Linked DNA regions of Notamacropus eugenii. The protein of the gene in region 1 purifies or fractionates together with the protein of each later gene. This does not show direct contact. Links are inferred from orthologs where the notes say so. Each region holds a gene or a part of one and is shown on either strand. Other genes may lie near its edges. The genes, in order: SLC7A11 and OTUD5.

The links.
Region 2: the proteins of SLC7A11 (region 1) and OTUD5 purify together in Homo sapiens (affinity purification with western blotting; 3 studies listed by BioGRID, with this or other methods). This does not show direct contact. The link is inferred for Notamacropus eugenii from reciprocal best matches to the Homo sapiens genes SLC7A11 and OTUD5.

Annotation. Positions count from the first base shown.
Region 1 is NC_092877.1:134,703,020-134,710,923, reverse strand, and holds the start of SLC7A11 (cystine/glutamate transporter), read left to right. Parts: upstream 1-4,663; 5' UTR 4,664-4,788; intron 4,789-5,223; 5' UTR 5,224-5,232; coding exon 5,233-5,509; intron 5,510-7,904. UniProt on the Homo sapiens protein: Heterodimer with SLC3A2, that functions as an antiporter by mediating the exchange of extracellular anionic L-cystine and intracellular L-glutamate across the cellular plasma membrane.
Region 2 is NC_092879.1:102,138,313-102,145,545, reverse strand, and holds the start of OTUD5 (OTU domain-containing protein 5), read left to right. Parts: upstream 1-4,063; 5' UTR 4,064-4,195; coding exon 4,196-4,780; intron 4,781-7,233. Other genes in the region: A-type voltage-gated potassium channel KCND1, read left to right, coding at 96-194, 468-733, 1,043-1,304. UniProt on the Homo sapiens protein: Deubiquitinating enzyme that functions as a negative regulator of the innate immune system. Has peptidase activity towards 'Lys-48'- and 'Lys-63'-linked polyubiquitin chains. Can also cleave 'Lys-11'-linked ubiquitin chains (in vitro).

The DNA.
Region 1 (7,904 bases):
CACTGCCCCATCTAATTATCATCATCATAATAATGTAATAATACAGTGTGCTAAGGTTTTTAAAGCACTTTGGATATTATCTAAAGAAGTAAAAAAAAAAATTAAGAAAATGCAAAGTTGAAGGCTGAAGGAATCCCCATTAAGGGCTACTACCCTGAGAGGTCCCACCTGAGATAACTTGTAATCCCTAAAAAAGAATTGCTGCTACCACCACCTGGACATTTATATAGCATGTTTAAATTTTCCAAAGCATTTGAATACTGTTATATGATATAAACCTTATGACAAACCTTCAAGATAGTATTTTCCAAACAGCATAATATATATTTTATAGATAAAAAAATGGTTCATAGAAATTAATTGGCTTGCCTAGGCAAGTATTCAAAGCAGGGATGAAAAGTATAGAACAAAACGGACCTTCTTCTGGTTCTATGAAACTCCACCAATATTTGAAAATAGCCATCACTGATACCTCAATAAGACTCATTGCTGTTTTATATCAATGTCAGATTACTCAAAATCTGGTCCATTTCCACTGAGGAAGAGGATTCCTCTTCCTATGTCAATCTCAACATTCCAAAACATATTTTTGAAAAATTTCCAAATTCCTCTTCTATTACTCCCATTAACCTGTGGAATTGTGCCACATAGTGCAGTCTGGCAGAAGAAGATGAGGCAGCTTTCCATTATACTTGTAGGTGAAACTTTCCATATGTGTTGTCTCCCCCATTACAATGTGAGCTCCTTGAAAGTAGGGACTGTATTACGTTACTATTCATATGTCCAGCACTTGGCATAGTGCTTTTCACATAGTGAGTTCTTCGTAAGGTCTTTTTTCATTCATTCATTCATTCGTTCGTTCGTTCGTTCGTTAGTTCATTCATCCATCCATCCATCCATCCATTCACTAGATATGAGGGTGCCAGTTTCCAGACTACACCAGGAAGGAAGTACATTTACATAGGATAGAGCCCCAATCTCTATACCCTAATTATGGTTGCTCAGTTTCCACACCAGGATTCTTCCTTTTCTGTCAATTGATAAACATTTGTTGATCCCCTCTTACATACCAGGCACTGTGTTAAGTGCATGAAACCTGGAGGAGTAACACTTATAGTCTGATTTTGTAGGTGGGTGGAAGGAGTCATGGTAGACGACTGCCATTAGAATCTTTGTCTAAAGTTCTGTTTTAGTGGACATTCATTTGTCCTCACTTGCCCATTTTCCTCTTGTATAGCTCTAATTGTTGAGAAGTTGGGTTTGTTTGTTCTTTGCTGATATCAAGCCTAAATTACCTCTTTGCAGCATTTATCCAACATTCTTGATTCTTGCATCTGAGATGCAGAGATTTCCAAGCCTTAGAGTTTTAAAAAAATGCCAGGTTTTGCTGTTGTATTTTTGACGTTGATTGATGGTTGATGGTCCATATATTAATGACGAATTAATCTTCTCAAAGGAATTTAGGCCAGAAGAGTTTGCAAAGTATGGAAGCAATGAAAACCTGAACTAATTCCTGGGCTACGTAAGGAAAACAGAGGCTTTTCCTTATAGAGAAAAGGGAATGGGGTTTAGACTGAGATGATCTGCATTTGAATACTGACTCTGGTGCTGAATGTTCAACACCTTGGCTACTATCTCTCTCTGAAACTCAGTTTCCACATCTGTAATGTGGAGTCAACTAGGTGGAACAGTGGATAGAGCTCTGACTCTGGACTCAGGAAGATCTGAGTTCAAAATCTGACCTCAAACACTTGCTAGTTGTGACCCTGGGCAAGTCACTTAACTTCTGCCTGCCTCAGTTTCCTTATCTGTAAAATGAGGATAATCATAGCATCTACCTTCCAGGGTTATTGTGAGGATCAGATGAAAGAATCATTGTAAAGGGCTTAGCAACAGTGCCTGGAACATACAGAGCAAGTACTTTATAAACGTTGTTATCATTATTATTAAAGGAGGGGTTTGGACAACATACTCTATATGAAAAAGATCTTCCTAAAATTCAGAACTATCTAAAAATGTGATAGGTCACCTCAAGAGTGGTGGGTTCTCCATCACTGGAGGCCTTCAAGAAGAAGCTGAATGATAACATTTTAGGTATGATAAAGAGGAAATTCTTGTACTGGTATGGGTTGACCAGATGAGATCCATTTCAATTCTTACATTGACTGGTGAATAGTATATTGGGCCTGGACTCTGAAAGACTAGGGTTTGAATCCTGCTTGTGGCACTTAGTAACTGGATTACCTTGGGCAAGTCAGTCCCCCTCTTGGAAACTCAGTTTCCCCTTTAGTGAAATGGGGCTAATGATACTCATAGTTCTGAGCTCAACTGGTTATTGCAAGATCCAAAGGAAATAATTTCTGTAAGACTTTGGTGTTTTTGCAAATCTTTTAAAAGTGTTTATGAAAAGTTATATAGTCATTTGTTGTTACTGAGATAGTCCCCTGCAGTTCTAAGTAATCTGAGCCTATGGAACTCTCTTGGGCATCTCTATGTAACACTCCAGAGGATAACTGGACAGAAGAGGGGCTGAGTGTTCTAGGACTATTGCTTGGCTTTCTCCAGCCGTCTCACTTCTCCCCTGACCTTCACACCTGTCTGACAGCTCCTCAAGCTGGTTAAGTGATAAGAGCAGAGGGATGATAATAACTTCTTCCCATTCTGGAATCCCAAACCACAGGTAACAGCAGCCAATCACTGACCTACAAGCTTGGCACCAGTTTCAGAGGCTGTTTGTTGGTAGAGGGAGATAGAGGGCTTGAAAGACCTTGCCACTTTTTAATGTTTCTTTCTGTTGAAATTCAGGGTGCCGGGGACCCCAAAATACCGATACACTGGGTCCTGTCGAATGAATTCAACTTAAGCTTTCTTTCAGTCAAAGTAAAATAAAATTTATTGAAGATTCACCATATTAGGTTGACTGTTAAGGAGTCTAACCATTTGTAATGCTGTATACAATCTGAGCTAGATTGATCCTGATTTAGATTGAATCTGAGTGCCTTCATGGAGGCAAGATGGAGCCTATATACAGAAAGACTATGGGAGGAATCTGGAGATGTCTAGTAGTCTGGGGGTTCCAGGGATGGTCCTGATTGGGGTGGTCAGCCTGGAATGTCTAGAGGTATGATCTTGATCGGAATGACCAGAATAGAGGTCAAATCTAGGCAGGATCTTGATGGGAGTGACCAGTACCCTGGGGTGACTAAACATTAAATCTAGAGGATCTTGATGGGAGTACAAAGTAGCCTGGAGAATAGGATTTTGATAGGATAAAGGTGGAGAGTAAAACAGAGATCTGGGCATGGTGATAATGAAAAACTTATGGTCCTCAGAGAATGCCAGATCAAATATGAGGAATTCAAGGAGCCCTCGGGGTGAGGCCCTCCAGGGTCCCCTAGACAAATGGGACCAAAACTCCTCTGGGCCAAGAGACAAAGATCTCAGCTTGGGCTTGTACCCTGTCATTTCCGTGTGAATTTTTTTTTTTTAAATCAAAGCAAATTCTGAAAATCTGATTATAACTTTCTCCACCCTGACCTCCTCACAATACACTTAGTAGTTGTGGGCAAGTTGGTACCCCTCTTGGAAAGTTTTCTCATCTGTGAAATGGGACTGAAAATACTTGTAGTTCTGATCTCAGAGGAGTATTGCAAAACCCAAAAGGATACAATGGATATAGAGAATTCCAAACACCTTCCACTAAGGAAAGTCTACAACTGAGCAGTGAGTTGATTTGCTTAAGGTAATAACATTTTATGCAGCAGCCTAAACTTGAACCTAAGTCTCTTTTCCCCCCTCAATTTTCTTATCTGTATAATGAGATGGAGAAGGAAATGGCAAGCCACTCCAAGGTCTTTTCCAAGAAAACCCCAAATAGGATCGGGAAGATTCTGACAGGACTGAAATGACTGAACAACCACAAAGCAGTAGTCTTTGCAGCCTCTACAACTAACTTCAGGGAACAAAAATGCCCTGAGGGATGTCAATTTCAGCAAAAATAATTCTCTTTAGGAAATCACCAAGTAACTTGGAAATCTGAGAATGATTCTCGTTGGGGTAACTGTGGTTTTTAAACGTAGTCATATTCTCGTGGATCACACCTTCGCAAGGCGAAAATGTAAGTGTATTGTCAGAGCAAAATGAAAAAATCCCTCCCTTCCCTCAGTATGAGCCACAATCCCCTTCAAGAAGAAGAAGGTGCGGAAAAACTCTCTCTCTCCCTCTCTCCCTCTCACTCTCTCTCCCTCTCTCCCTCTCTCTCTCTGTCTCTCTCTCTCCCCACCTACAAGATAGATTTGCTTATGTTGCTAGGCAACCAAAAGTTTTCTTTTCTTTCTTTTTTTTTTTTTTAAGGAAGTAAAAAAAAGGTGTGCATGGGGGGTCGCACTTTGGGTGACTAATGCAGCTTGATGTTCCCTTCAACTTTTGGCTGCTTCATGAAAGAGGTGTGGGTGCGTGCGTGTGCATGGGGAAGGGAGGGGTGGCGATCCCAGATAAAAATGAAGTAGATGTTTCCTGTTTGGTGTTTCATTTTCTTTCTGTTTGAGGAGCCTTGGGGCCTCCCTGAGTGTTACTCTCCACCTCTGGGAGGGTCTCTGTGGGTTTCCTCCCTCTGGATTGGCTCCTGAGGCCTTTTAAGTGAAGGCTTTGTTCTCTGCAAAGCGCAGGTCAGTTGGGCTACACGCTGCCACTGTTTGGGGAAAGGAGAAAAAAAAGAGCTGAGTAATGCTGAAGCCTTCTCCTGTGGCTGATGCAAACCTGGAGAATTTGCATCATCACTGAGCTGGAGTGAGTTGGTGTGACAGAAGCTTAAATACGGGCGCTGGAGGGAGCTGAGCTAGGTTCTAATGACAGGGCAGTAGCAGCAGCAGCGAGGGGCAGAACGGAAGGGTCCGGGCTGCCATGGGAAAGGCACAGGTGCTCTGGAGGAGGCATTAGGGAGGCGGGAAGCGTAAAACACACCTTTTGAAGGTCCATACCTGTGAACCCTAGAGCAGCGTGAAAGGCTACCAGGACAGGAAAACAGTTCGAACTCAGTCTGATCAGGGAGACCAGACCTTGTTTTCAAAGTTTTTCTCCTCCTGCTTCTCGCCTTTCTCGTTCTCCTGGTCCTCCTCTTCCTCCTCATCTTTCTTCTTTTCCTCTCCTTCCTTCTTCTCGTCTTTCTCTCTTTTTCTGTATTTTTTGCTTTTTGCTTTTTATTTTTCCCCTTGAGTTTGGCAGAATCCCACTATGGTCAAGAAGCCAGTGATGCCCTCCATTTCCAATGGAGACTACCTCCAGGGGGATGCTCAAGGTCACTTGACCTCCAGGGGCAGCAAAGAGGCCCCCGAGCAGGCTAAGATGGTGCTGAAGAAAAAAATCACGCTGCTGAGGGGCATCTCCATCATCATTGGCACTATCATCGGGGCTGGCATCTTCATCTCCCCCAAAGGAGTTCTCCAAAACACGGGCACCGTAGGCATGTCTCTGATCGTCTGGACGGTCTGTGGGCTCGTGTCTCTGTTTGGTGAGTTTATGTTTAAAATTGGAGTCCCTTGAGGGTATGTGTGTGGGAGGCTGCTACTGGGCATGCAGCTTGGCATGCTGATTTGGGAGGTGAGTGGCTGGTCTGCTAGTAGAATTAGAGTAGAAGTAGAGGAGAGTGGTAATGAGGAGAAATCATTCAAGTCATCTAGGAGTTTCTGGATGACTTGAATAGTCCCCTCTTTTCCTTCCCCAACCTCCTTTATTTCCCTTTCCTGATGAAGAGAAAATCTTTTCATTTCTTTATAGTGATGGAAATAAGCACTCATTTTTATTGCCTATAAAAAGGCAAGCACTGGACATTTGTGCTTGTCTGGGCAATGCTAGGGCTGAGCCCCTGAAGCCTCTGTGAATTGTAAAATCTGGTTGGCCTAGTTACATTCAGTGCTGAGTTGTCCAACAGTTTTCCTGACTTCTTATTGGTGAAACAAATGGTAAGGCAGTGCTTTTCCTTAAAACACTAACACAGACACACAAACAGACATACACACAGACACACACCCCACCTTCATGGGCCTGACTTTTCCGTGTGAGCCACTGAACTGTAGAAAGATATGGCAGGACATACCATGAGGAATTCTGCCCTTGCATCAGTCAAGGATATGATTAGTATGTTATAACTTTTCATATCCAACCTCCTCCCACCTCAATTATCTTCTGCTTAAATATTGAGCTTGGTTGGGTGCGGGTCTAAGCAGTTTATTCAGTCATTTTTTTCACTTGTGCCAGTTTGTTGACGTCCTAAAGTTTGATAAGATGTCCTCAGAGAAACTTAATGAACCTGGAAAAGAAGCTTCCTCCCCCAATTCAGATGGCTGCATTAAAAGCCTATTTAAAGAATAATGGACAACACCAAAAGATACCTACTCAAGACTCAAACAAAAAAAAGTATCATTCAGAGTTTTTGTTAAATGTCAGGCCCCTACAGTTATCTGTGGCCTAAATGATGAGCTAGGTTGGATGGGAGTCTAAGGGGTATACCCAAGCCTCATTTTCTTCCCCTGTGTCCATCTGTTGTTCCAAAGAGTTTGGTGACAAGATTACCTTAGTGAAACTCAATGAAATTGTTCCAAATTTTAATTAAGTGTCAGATCCATACAGTGTCATCTGTATTGGTCCAGTACATGAGGCAGTACCAGTTAATCATCTGACCAGGAATAGAAAGCTAAATCTACCCATTTTAAGCAAGGTAAGTCCTAAATAAGCTTGTTTAAGGATCAAGGAGAGTATATTCTGATTCCGGAAGATTCAGAAGAAAGATCACTTGGAAGTAGAGTCAGAAAACATGGCTCCTAGTACTACGCATGTGGTCTTGGGGAAGCTACTTGACTTCCTTTGGGCCTCAGTTTTCCTAATCTTTAAAAGAAGGGAGTTAGACTAGATCAGGGGGTGGGGAACCTGTGGCCTTGGACCACCTATCGATTTCTAGGTCCTTTGGTGGCCAGCCTTTTGACTGAGTCTAAGTTTTACAGTTTTACTAAAGGGATTTATTCTGTAAAGTTTGGATTCAGTCCAAGGGCCACATTTGAGGACCTAGAGGGCCACATGTGGCCTGGAGGTCTCAGGTTTCCCACCCCTGCACTAGATGATCTCTAAGGTCCCTTCTAGCTTTGACTTTGATCCTGTGAAGGTTCTGACCTTACCACTACAAAGCAGTTATTCTGTCTTAGAATAAACGCTAAGTCAATTTTCTTAGGGTTTTCCTGACTCATTCATATTTTTTCTGGACTCTCAAATATCTCATTCCAATGATTTTTCTATTCAACTTCAGAACTCGAGTTACATTATAAGGAAATTTACATAGATGTAAAACCAGTTGACTGGATCCATAGCTCTGCCATTAAACCAAGGAGTGGAGTCTTCTAGGACAAATTTATAAAGAGTTAGGTTTCCTTTCTCTTCCTTGCTTACTTCTTCCTACCAGCTAGTCTTTTACCTTACCATTAGTTTCATTTATTTTTCTTTTGGTCTGGAACTGTGACTTTTGCATTGTAAGCAGTTTTTGCTGGGGAAACTCTACCAATTCAAATCAGCCACTTGTGATCTCATGGCTTTGTCTGAGATGCTGAAGTTAAGTGACTTGACCATGGTCACAGGGTCACCACAGCAGTATATTAGAGGAAGAATTTCAGGCCAGGTCTCTCAGCCTCCAAGGGCAGTTCTCTTTCTATTACAGCCTGTCTATCTCAGTGGTGGTTCCAACATATCATTTTTACTGACACAATTGTATTCTATCTTTGTGGATGACCAGGATAGATTTGAACTGATGATTCTGATGACTTTACTAAAGAGTATAAAATCTTTGAAACAGTATACTATGTCAAATGGTTCCATGCTATGTCTTTATAGATCATAAGATCAAGAACTATTATCAATTA
Region 2 (7,233 bases), on another chromosome or scaffold:
GGGCACAGGGCTCTGAAAGCTGGCCAGGGGAGGGGGCAAGGAATAGGGCTTTGCTGCTGAGGTGGCTCACCTGATGCTCTGCCTGTGCGCCCTAGGACCAAGATGGGGCCGAACAGCCAGCACTGAGCACACGAAGCCGCTCAGCTTTTGAACAGCAGCACCATCATCTTTTGCACTGTCTGGAGAAGACCACAGTGAGATCCTTCTCTCTCTGTCTCCCTGCTGACCCCTTCCCATTGCCCAAAAGCCATCTCTGGAATCCTGAGTCCTTTCTTTGTGCCCTGCTCAGGCTCTTGGCCTCCCTGTCTGTGCTCCCTCCTCCTTTGGGTCCTGCCTGCCATTGCTTGTTCCCCTAAGGCTCTAAATACCCCCTGATGCTAACTCTCCTCTCTCTCTCTCTCTCTCTCTCTCTCTCTCTCTCTCTCTCTCTCTCTCTCTCTCTCTCTACGTCTCTTCTCTCCCCCCAGTCACATGAGTTCACAGATGAGTCTACCTTCAGTGAAGCACTGGGAGTCATTTCCCTGGGTGGCCGCACCAGCCGCAGCACCTCTGTGTCTTCCCAGGCTGTCATGGGAACCAGCGCTCGGACTAGCAGTCTGATCTCTTCCTGCTGCCCCCGACGGACCAAGCAGCGCCGGGCCATTCGCTTGGCCAACTCCACTGCCTCTGTCAGCCGAGGCAGTATGCAGGAGCTGGACACTCTCGCTGGGCACCATAGCCCAGGACCCCAGAGGTAATGTGGCCTCCATTACTTGGGGCCAGGAAGCGAAGATTTGGGTAGGGGGCCCTAGGTGCCACAGGTGCAGATAAAGCTGAATGCAATCCCACTAAGATAAGATTTTAGAGGGCAGCGTGCAATGGCGCGCCCTTTCACAGCCCAGGGACTCAAGACATTTACCCTGGAAGGAATCTCAGTTATCATTCAGTCTCCCATTTTATGGATAAGGAAATTGAGGCTTATGGGTTAGACTGCCTCACCCAAGGTGGTGGATCTTGGATCCTACCCCAAGACCCTCTCTCCCTTTCTGCTTCCATCCACCAGCCGAGCCAGCCTCAATGCCAAGACTCATGACAGCCTGACTCTGAATTGTGACAGTCAGGACCTGGTGGCAGCCATCATCAGCATCCCCACCCCCCCAGCAAACACCCCAGATGAGAGCCAACCACATTCGCCTGCCAGTGACAGTGGGAAGGGGCCTGGAAGACCCTCTGGGGGCAGCAGCAGTAACAGGGGGGCTGTCCAAAACTCCAGCCTGGGCCCTTCTGATATTCCTCACAACACTGTCAAAATCTCCTCCCTGTGATTGAGGGGGCTTCACCCCTCCTTTGGGGCATTGGTTCCCCACCTTGGGTGTCTCCCTGTTTTGTTTTCAAAGCCATATTTGGATGGGGCAAAGTGTGAGGAAGATGAGGGGCACACTGGGGGGGGGGGCGGCATCTCAGCCCCTGTGATCTCCACTGCCCCTGAACAGGACAATCTTGTAGTGCAATGGAGTATGTATGTGTGTGTGTGGGGGGGGGAGGAATGGAGAACCAAAGCTCCGCTCGTGTCCCCTCTTCTCTGTTCTCTAGAGACATGGACATCAGTAGCTGGGAAGCCAGAGGGTGAGTCCTATTCTTGGGACCTGTCACAGACCAGGAAAGGAACCTGGTTGTCAGGGTGGATTCAGGTCTTGGCCTATATGTTCTCCATCCTTTGTCTCTGGGATCTTTCACCTGCTGAAATGGTGGCAGGTGGACCCAGGTATCTTGGGAGGGGCAAGTGTGCTTGCTTAGCACATCTGGAGGATATCACCATGTAGGCTAGCAGAGGCTGACTGAGAGATGTGGTCTCTGTCTCCTGCCCCTCCTCCTCAGCTGTCTCCTCAGAGCTTCACCCTGGGCAATGTTACCAGACTGCTGTGTCCTTGGTGAATGTCCAGAGAGATTTCCCTTCTCCATCTGGAGGACAGGTGACTGAGTGGGACAGTGAGGGGGAGTCTCCCCCTACCTCCTCATCTCATCCTCAGTATGGAGAGAAGAGCAGAAAGGCACCTGCAGGGGCTCAGCTCCCAAACATCTGACCTTCTGGTGACCCCCCCAATGACATAGGAAGCAATAGCTCTCAGCCTAGCTGTTTGATGCCCTTGAGATCCAGCTGAATTCTTGTGAGATAACTAAGGGCAGCAGGCCAGGAGGAGGAGGTGCTTTAGGGTCTCTCCTCAGTAGCTGCAGAGCTCTTAGAGCCTGCCTCAGTTTCCCTTCTAGATCCCCTCCATCAGCTGGGCTTCTCTGCCTGCCTACCTGCTTGCCTCTCTCCTGGCACGTCTCAGGTTTTCCCACCTGCCCCATGCTTGAAGCCAGTGCCCTACTGGATGCAGTTTAAACCAATAAAAACCCACACAACAAACCAAAGGAGACCTTGGCCCACAAGTGGGGGATGGGGGGGTGGGGGTTGGAGCAATACGGGGTGCTGAACTGGAGGTGACATCAGAAAGGACTTGAGTTGGGTTCCACCAACCACCTTCTTTCCCAATCTGGGTCTCAACTTGGTTATCTGGGAGATGGGTCTGATCTCTGCTTCCCCTGCCATTCCAGCGTGGGCTACCTAGCCTGCCCCAGGGGATGGTGGGAAAGCACGAACCGAAATGTCCTTGCTGATCCACCCAGAGAGAGGTCTGGGAGGCGGAGCCAACTGTAGAAAGTTCGGCGAGGAAATGAGGGTGGTTTTGTGAACCCCCAGAGGTGCCTGAGCTTTTCAAGGGGGACGCGGAGGGAAGTTCTGGCCACCAAAGCAAAGTCAAGGCTGACTGGCACCCAAGATGGGGTAGGCGCCCAGTCCGACCTGAAGGGAGCGGGTATTAACATCATGGTGGCCGAGGCAGCATTTCGGGTGGGGAGGGGATATGGACCAAGAGAAAAGCCCGCAGTCCCCGGAGTGCGAGGTGGGGCGGGGGTGAGGACGGGCCAGGTCGCAGGACAGAGACCTCGGCTACCAGTAGGCGGCAGCATGGACCGCGGAATGCCAAAGATGGCTGTGCGCGCATGGGATGGAGGAAGGGGAACGGGCGGAGGCGGGGCGAGTTTCTCGTTTGACTGACAGCCAAGGTTGAGCAATGAGAGGGTTAGGAGAGCCGAATGCCCCGGCCCGCGCGTCTCGGCGGGGGAGATTGGCGGGGAGGGGGGAAAGGGGAGGAGGGCTGGGGTGATTGACAGGAGGGGAAGGGCGGCGGCATGGGGCGGAAGTGACGGCGCGGGGGCTCGTAGGAGACGCGCTGTGGCAAGTCGCCAAACGAGGAGGAGCAGGCGCCCGTGGAGCGATTGCTCTTTCCTCCCACTGCGCCTTCTCTCAGGCCCTCGGCCGGGGAAGTCGCAAAGGCCTTCGTGCCCTCCGCCGCTCTCCGAGACGGGAACACGAGGTCCGGACTTAGCTCACCCCTCCGGGTACACTGCCCGCCATCCTCGACGGGGGCGGGGCAGAGTGGAAAGGGAGGGGGCCAGGCTCTCCTCCGCGGTCAAGTGCGTCTGCGCGCCCCGCGGGGGCTGGCCCGCCGCGTCGGGGTGTTTGTTTTTGTCAGTCACCTGGTGGAGCGGGGCGGGGCCTGCAGCCCCGGGAGTCGGGAGTGAGAGGAAGAGGAAAAGCCAGCGGCGGTTGCGGGGCTCGCGCCCCGCCCCCCTCCTTAGCCTCTTGTGCCGACCAGTCGGTCCCCGACTCGCGCGCTCAGCTCGCGGCACGCAGCGGACAGGGCCTTACCCTTGCCAGGGTTCGCTCCCCGGGTAGCCCCCTCCCCTTGGGCTCGCCTCGCCTCGCCTCTGCCCCCTCCCCATCCGGGGCCTGCGCCGGGCCCCGCCCCTCCTCATCCGGGTCCTAGGGCCCTCGCTCCGCCCCTTCTCCCTTCAGTTTCCCGGGGTCCGCCGGCTCTTTTCCGGCCTCCGCTCGCCTGGCCTTGCCCTTCCTTTCCTTTCCTTCCCTTCCGTGCCCTGCCTTTCCCGCCGCCGCCTCCAGTTCCTTCCGCTCCCGGCCCAGGCAGCGGCGGCCAGGAAGAGGAGGGGGCCCGTTCGCCGCTACAGCTCCGCGGGGCCCGTCGGCTCCCCAGCCCCCGGCCCCCGGCCCGGCCTGGCTCCGGCCCGGCCCCGGCGGCCCTGAGGGGGCGTCGGAGCCGGAGCCGCTGAGCCGCAAGCTCCGGCCCAGGCCGAGCGTGCGCCCGCCGGCGCCATGACCATCCTCCCCAAGAAGAAGCCGCCGCCGCCGCCCGGGCCGCCGCCCGCCGGCTCGGACGCCGACTCCGGCCCGGACGGCGAGCCTGGCGGCGGGCCCGGCGGCCCGGGCGGCGGTGGACCCGGCGGCCCGGGCGGTGGCGAGGGCGTTCCGGGCGCCGGGCCGTCTTCGGGCGGCCGCTCGCGTGCCTCGCCGCCGCCGCTGGCGCGATGGGCCTCGGGCGCGGGCTCCGCGGCTTCCCGGCCGCAGGCCTCGCCGCCGCCCCCGGGCCCCGGGGGGCCGGCCTCAGCCGGGGCCGCCGACGCTCTCGGCCTGGGGCTGGGCCTGGGCGCCGTGGGCGGCCCCGGCGGCGGCCCCGGCGGCGGCTGCTGCTCGGGCCCGGGCCACAGCAAGAGGCGGCGGCAGCAGGCAGGCCCCTGCGGCAACCCCGGCGGGCCTCCGGGCGGTGGCGTCGGCGGCGTGGGCTCGGGCGCGGGGGGCAGCCCCGAGCGGGACGAAGGCGGCGCGGGCTACAACAGCGAGGACGAGTACGACACGGCGGCGGCCCGGGTGGAGGCTATGGACCCGGCCACGGTGGAGCAGGTATGGCCCGGGGAGGGGCCCCCGCGTCTTCGATCGTTTGCCCGGCCCTCTCCTCTTTGTTCGATCCGGTGGGGAGTTTATGAGGCCCAAGCGCCCCCCCCCCCGCCCCCCCCCACCGTCTCGGTCCTGCTTCCGGGTCTTGGCTCGCTCCATCTTTTCTTCTCGGGCCACCTCTGCTCCCTTCTTACGCCATGCCTGCCCCCCCCCCCCCACCTCGGGCCTTTTCGGATTCCTTGTTACTTCCCTGCGCTCCCCTTTCCCCCCGCTTTTCGAATTTTACCCTTTCTTTCCTAGGCCCCAGCCCTCTGATTTTTAATCCCTTACCCCCCCATTCTAGAGTCTCCTGGCTTTTCTGATTCCGTCCTTGCCCCCCTGCTCTTATTCATTCTTGGTTCCCCCCCCAGCTTTTTTCACCCTTTGCCCTATCCTGCCCTCACCCCATTTTCTTGATCCCCAGCCCCCCGTTGCTGCTTTTCTTGCCTCTTTCCTTTGCCCCCCCCTTGATTTTCTTACTCCTTGGGGCATGCCCCCCAATCCCTGGAGACCCCCCTGCTTTTATTCTATTTCTGATCCCCCCACCCTCGCTTTTCTTACCCCATCTTTCCTTCTCGTTCCCCCATGGAGCCCTGTTTCTGCTTTCTTTTGTAATTTTTCTCCCCAAAAGTGCTCCTCTTTTCTTCCTCTTTCTCCAGGACCTTTTCCTGCCTACCTACCTTCCCCTATTCCTTCCTGGTTCCCCTTCTCTTCCCATGATTCTTCAGGCCAAGCAGGGAAAGGGGAGAATGGTGGCTGGAGGCTACTGGGTCTCTGTAGTCCTTCTGGACCTCAGCGATGGGCATAGGTGCTGTCCTGTATCTTCTCCACTATTTTGGAGGCTCCTGAGGACAGGACTGGCTGGCAGAACTCTGTTCTTCCATTTCCAGTGCACTCCTTGTCTGAGAGATGAGGATGAAGCAGATGTCAGGGTGACCTGGCTCCGAGTCCTGTTAGTGCCTCTGTGGCCTTGCCCAGCTCTTTAAAGTCTCCAGAATTCTTAGCTAGTACTCCTGGAGAAACCTTCCATAGTCCGGGAGCTGCTTTGAGTCTCTCCTGCCAAGAACCCAGACTTAAGGAAGCCTGACTCCCATGCATATGGATGGCCAGGCCTTCAGGTGAACATTTGCATGCTGGAGAAGGCCATGGGGGGCCCCAAGGACCTGCTGACCAGCAAGTTGGGGCAACCCTAAAATGCGCACCTTCAGCACAGCTGGCCAAGATATCTTGGGAGAGAGCTGGTGCATCTCCTTTCTGTTGGGGGACTGAGAAGGGGGAGGGGGGGACTAAGGTGTTTAAGAAGAGAGAGGCTCCACTGGGAGTGCCCTGAGGCCCAGGATTTCTACTTGTCAGCTGAATTTGAGGAAACTTTTCTTTCCTGAGCTACTTCTTTGGGGGAACGGAGGAGTTGGGGCCCCCTTTTAGTTGTAACTGGTCCAGTGCACAGAGCACAAGACCCAAAAAACTAGAATCCAGCATCAGATGATTCAGGCAAGACTTCTTTTGTGCTGGACTTGTGTCCGTCTCAGTTTCTCTGTAAAATGGGGATGATAATAATATCTACCTCCTAGAATGATTCTGAAGATCCTCTGGTCTCCAGAGCGCTTGGTACTTAGTAGGTGCTTTGTAACTGCTTGCTCCTTCCCTGTGGGGGCTTTTGTCCTGGGTCAGGACTGGGCCCAAGTTTGCTGCCTGGCCTTTGGGTGTGGGGTGGCAGAGGGGTACAAGGATGTAAGAAGAAAGGCAGGAGAGGAGCTCCAGGGACTAAGAGGAACCATTTGCCTTGTTGGAGAAGCACCCCTCCCCAACTTGGATTCTCTGTTCCATTCTCCCTCCCTGAGCAAGTTCTGGTCACCTAGCAAGGACTGCTTCCGGCCTCCCGAGTGGGCTTCTCACCTTCACTGCCTGCAAGGCCACTGTGGGCAAAGGAAAGGGGGGGGGGGGGCAAGTACCCTGAAGCTAACTGCTCTTGGTGCCCTTCGCCCACGTCCAGGCCTGGCCCAGAGCCCAACCAACGACTTCTGGGGACACTGGACTTTTTTTTTTCTTGTGCCAGATACCAGGTGTCAGCAGGGTGTAGGGGGAGGGCGATGCTTCACACCGGCCAGTGTACATGTCTGTGCCCCCTACCCTCTCACTTCACCAAAAGTACCCCCACGGGGGAAAGAAGTTGGCTTGCCCACTTGGACTGCTGTGCCCAGGGCCTACATGGCTCTCCTCTTTGCTAAGCAGCAATGCAGGGCCAAGACACTTGTCTGTGGCTGTCATACCACATGCCCAGCACCCACACACAGCTCTGCAGCACCTTGGTCACTGGTCAGGGTCTCCCAGGAGTTGGGATGCTTCCTATATTGTAGGCTATTTGGGTTGTAGCTTAGGGCCTCATGGGAGATGGCAGATCCCCAGTTCTCTCCCTTTGC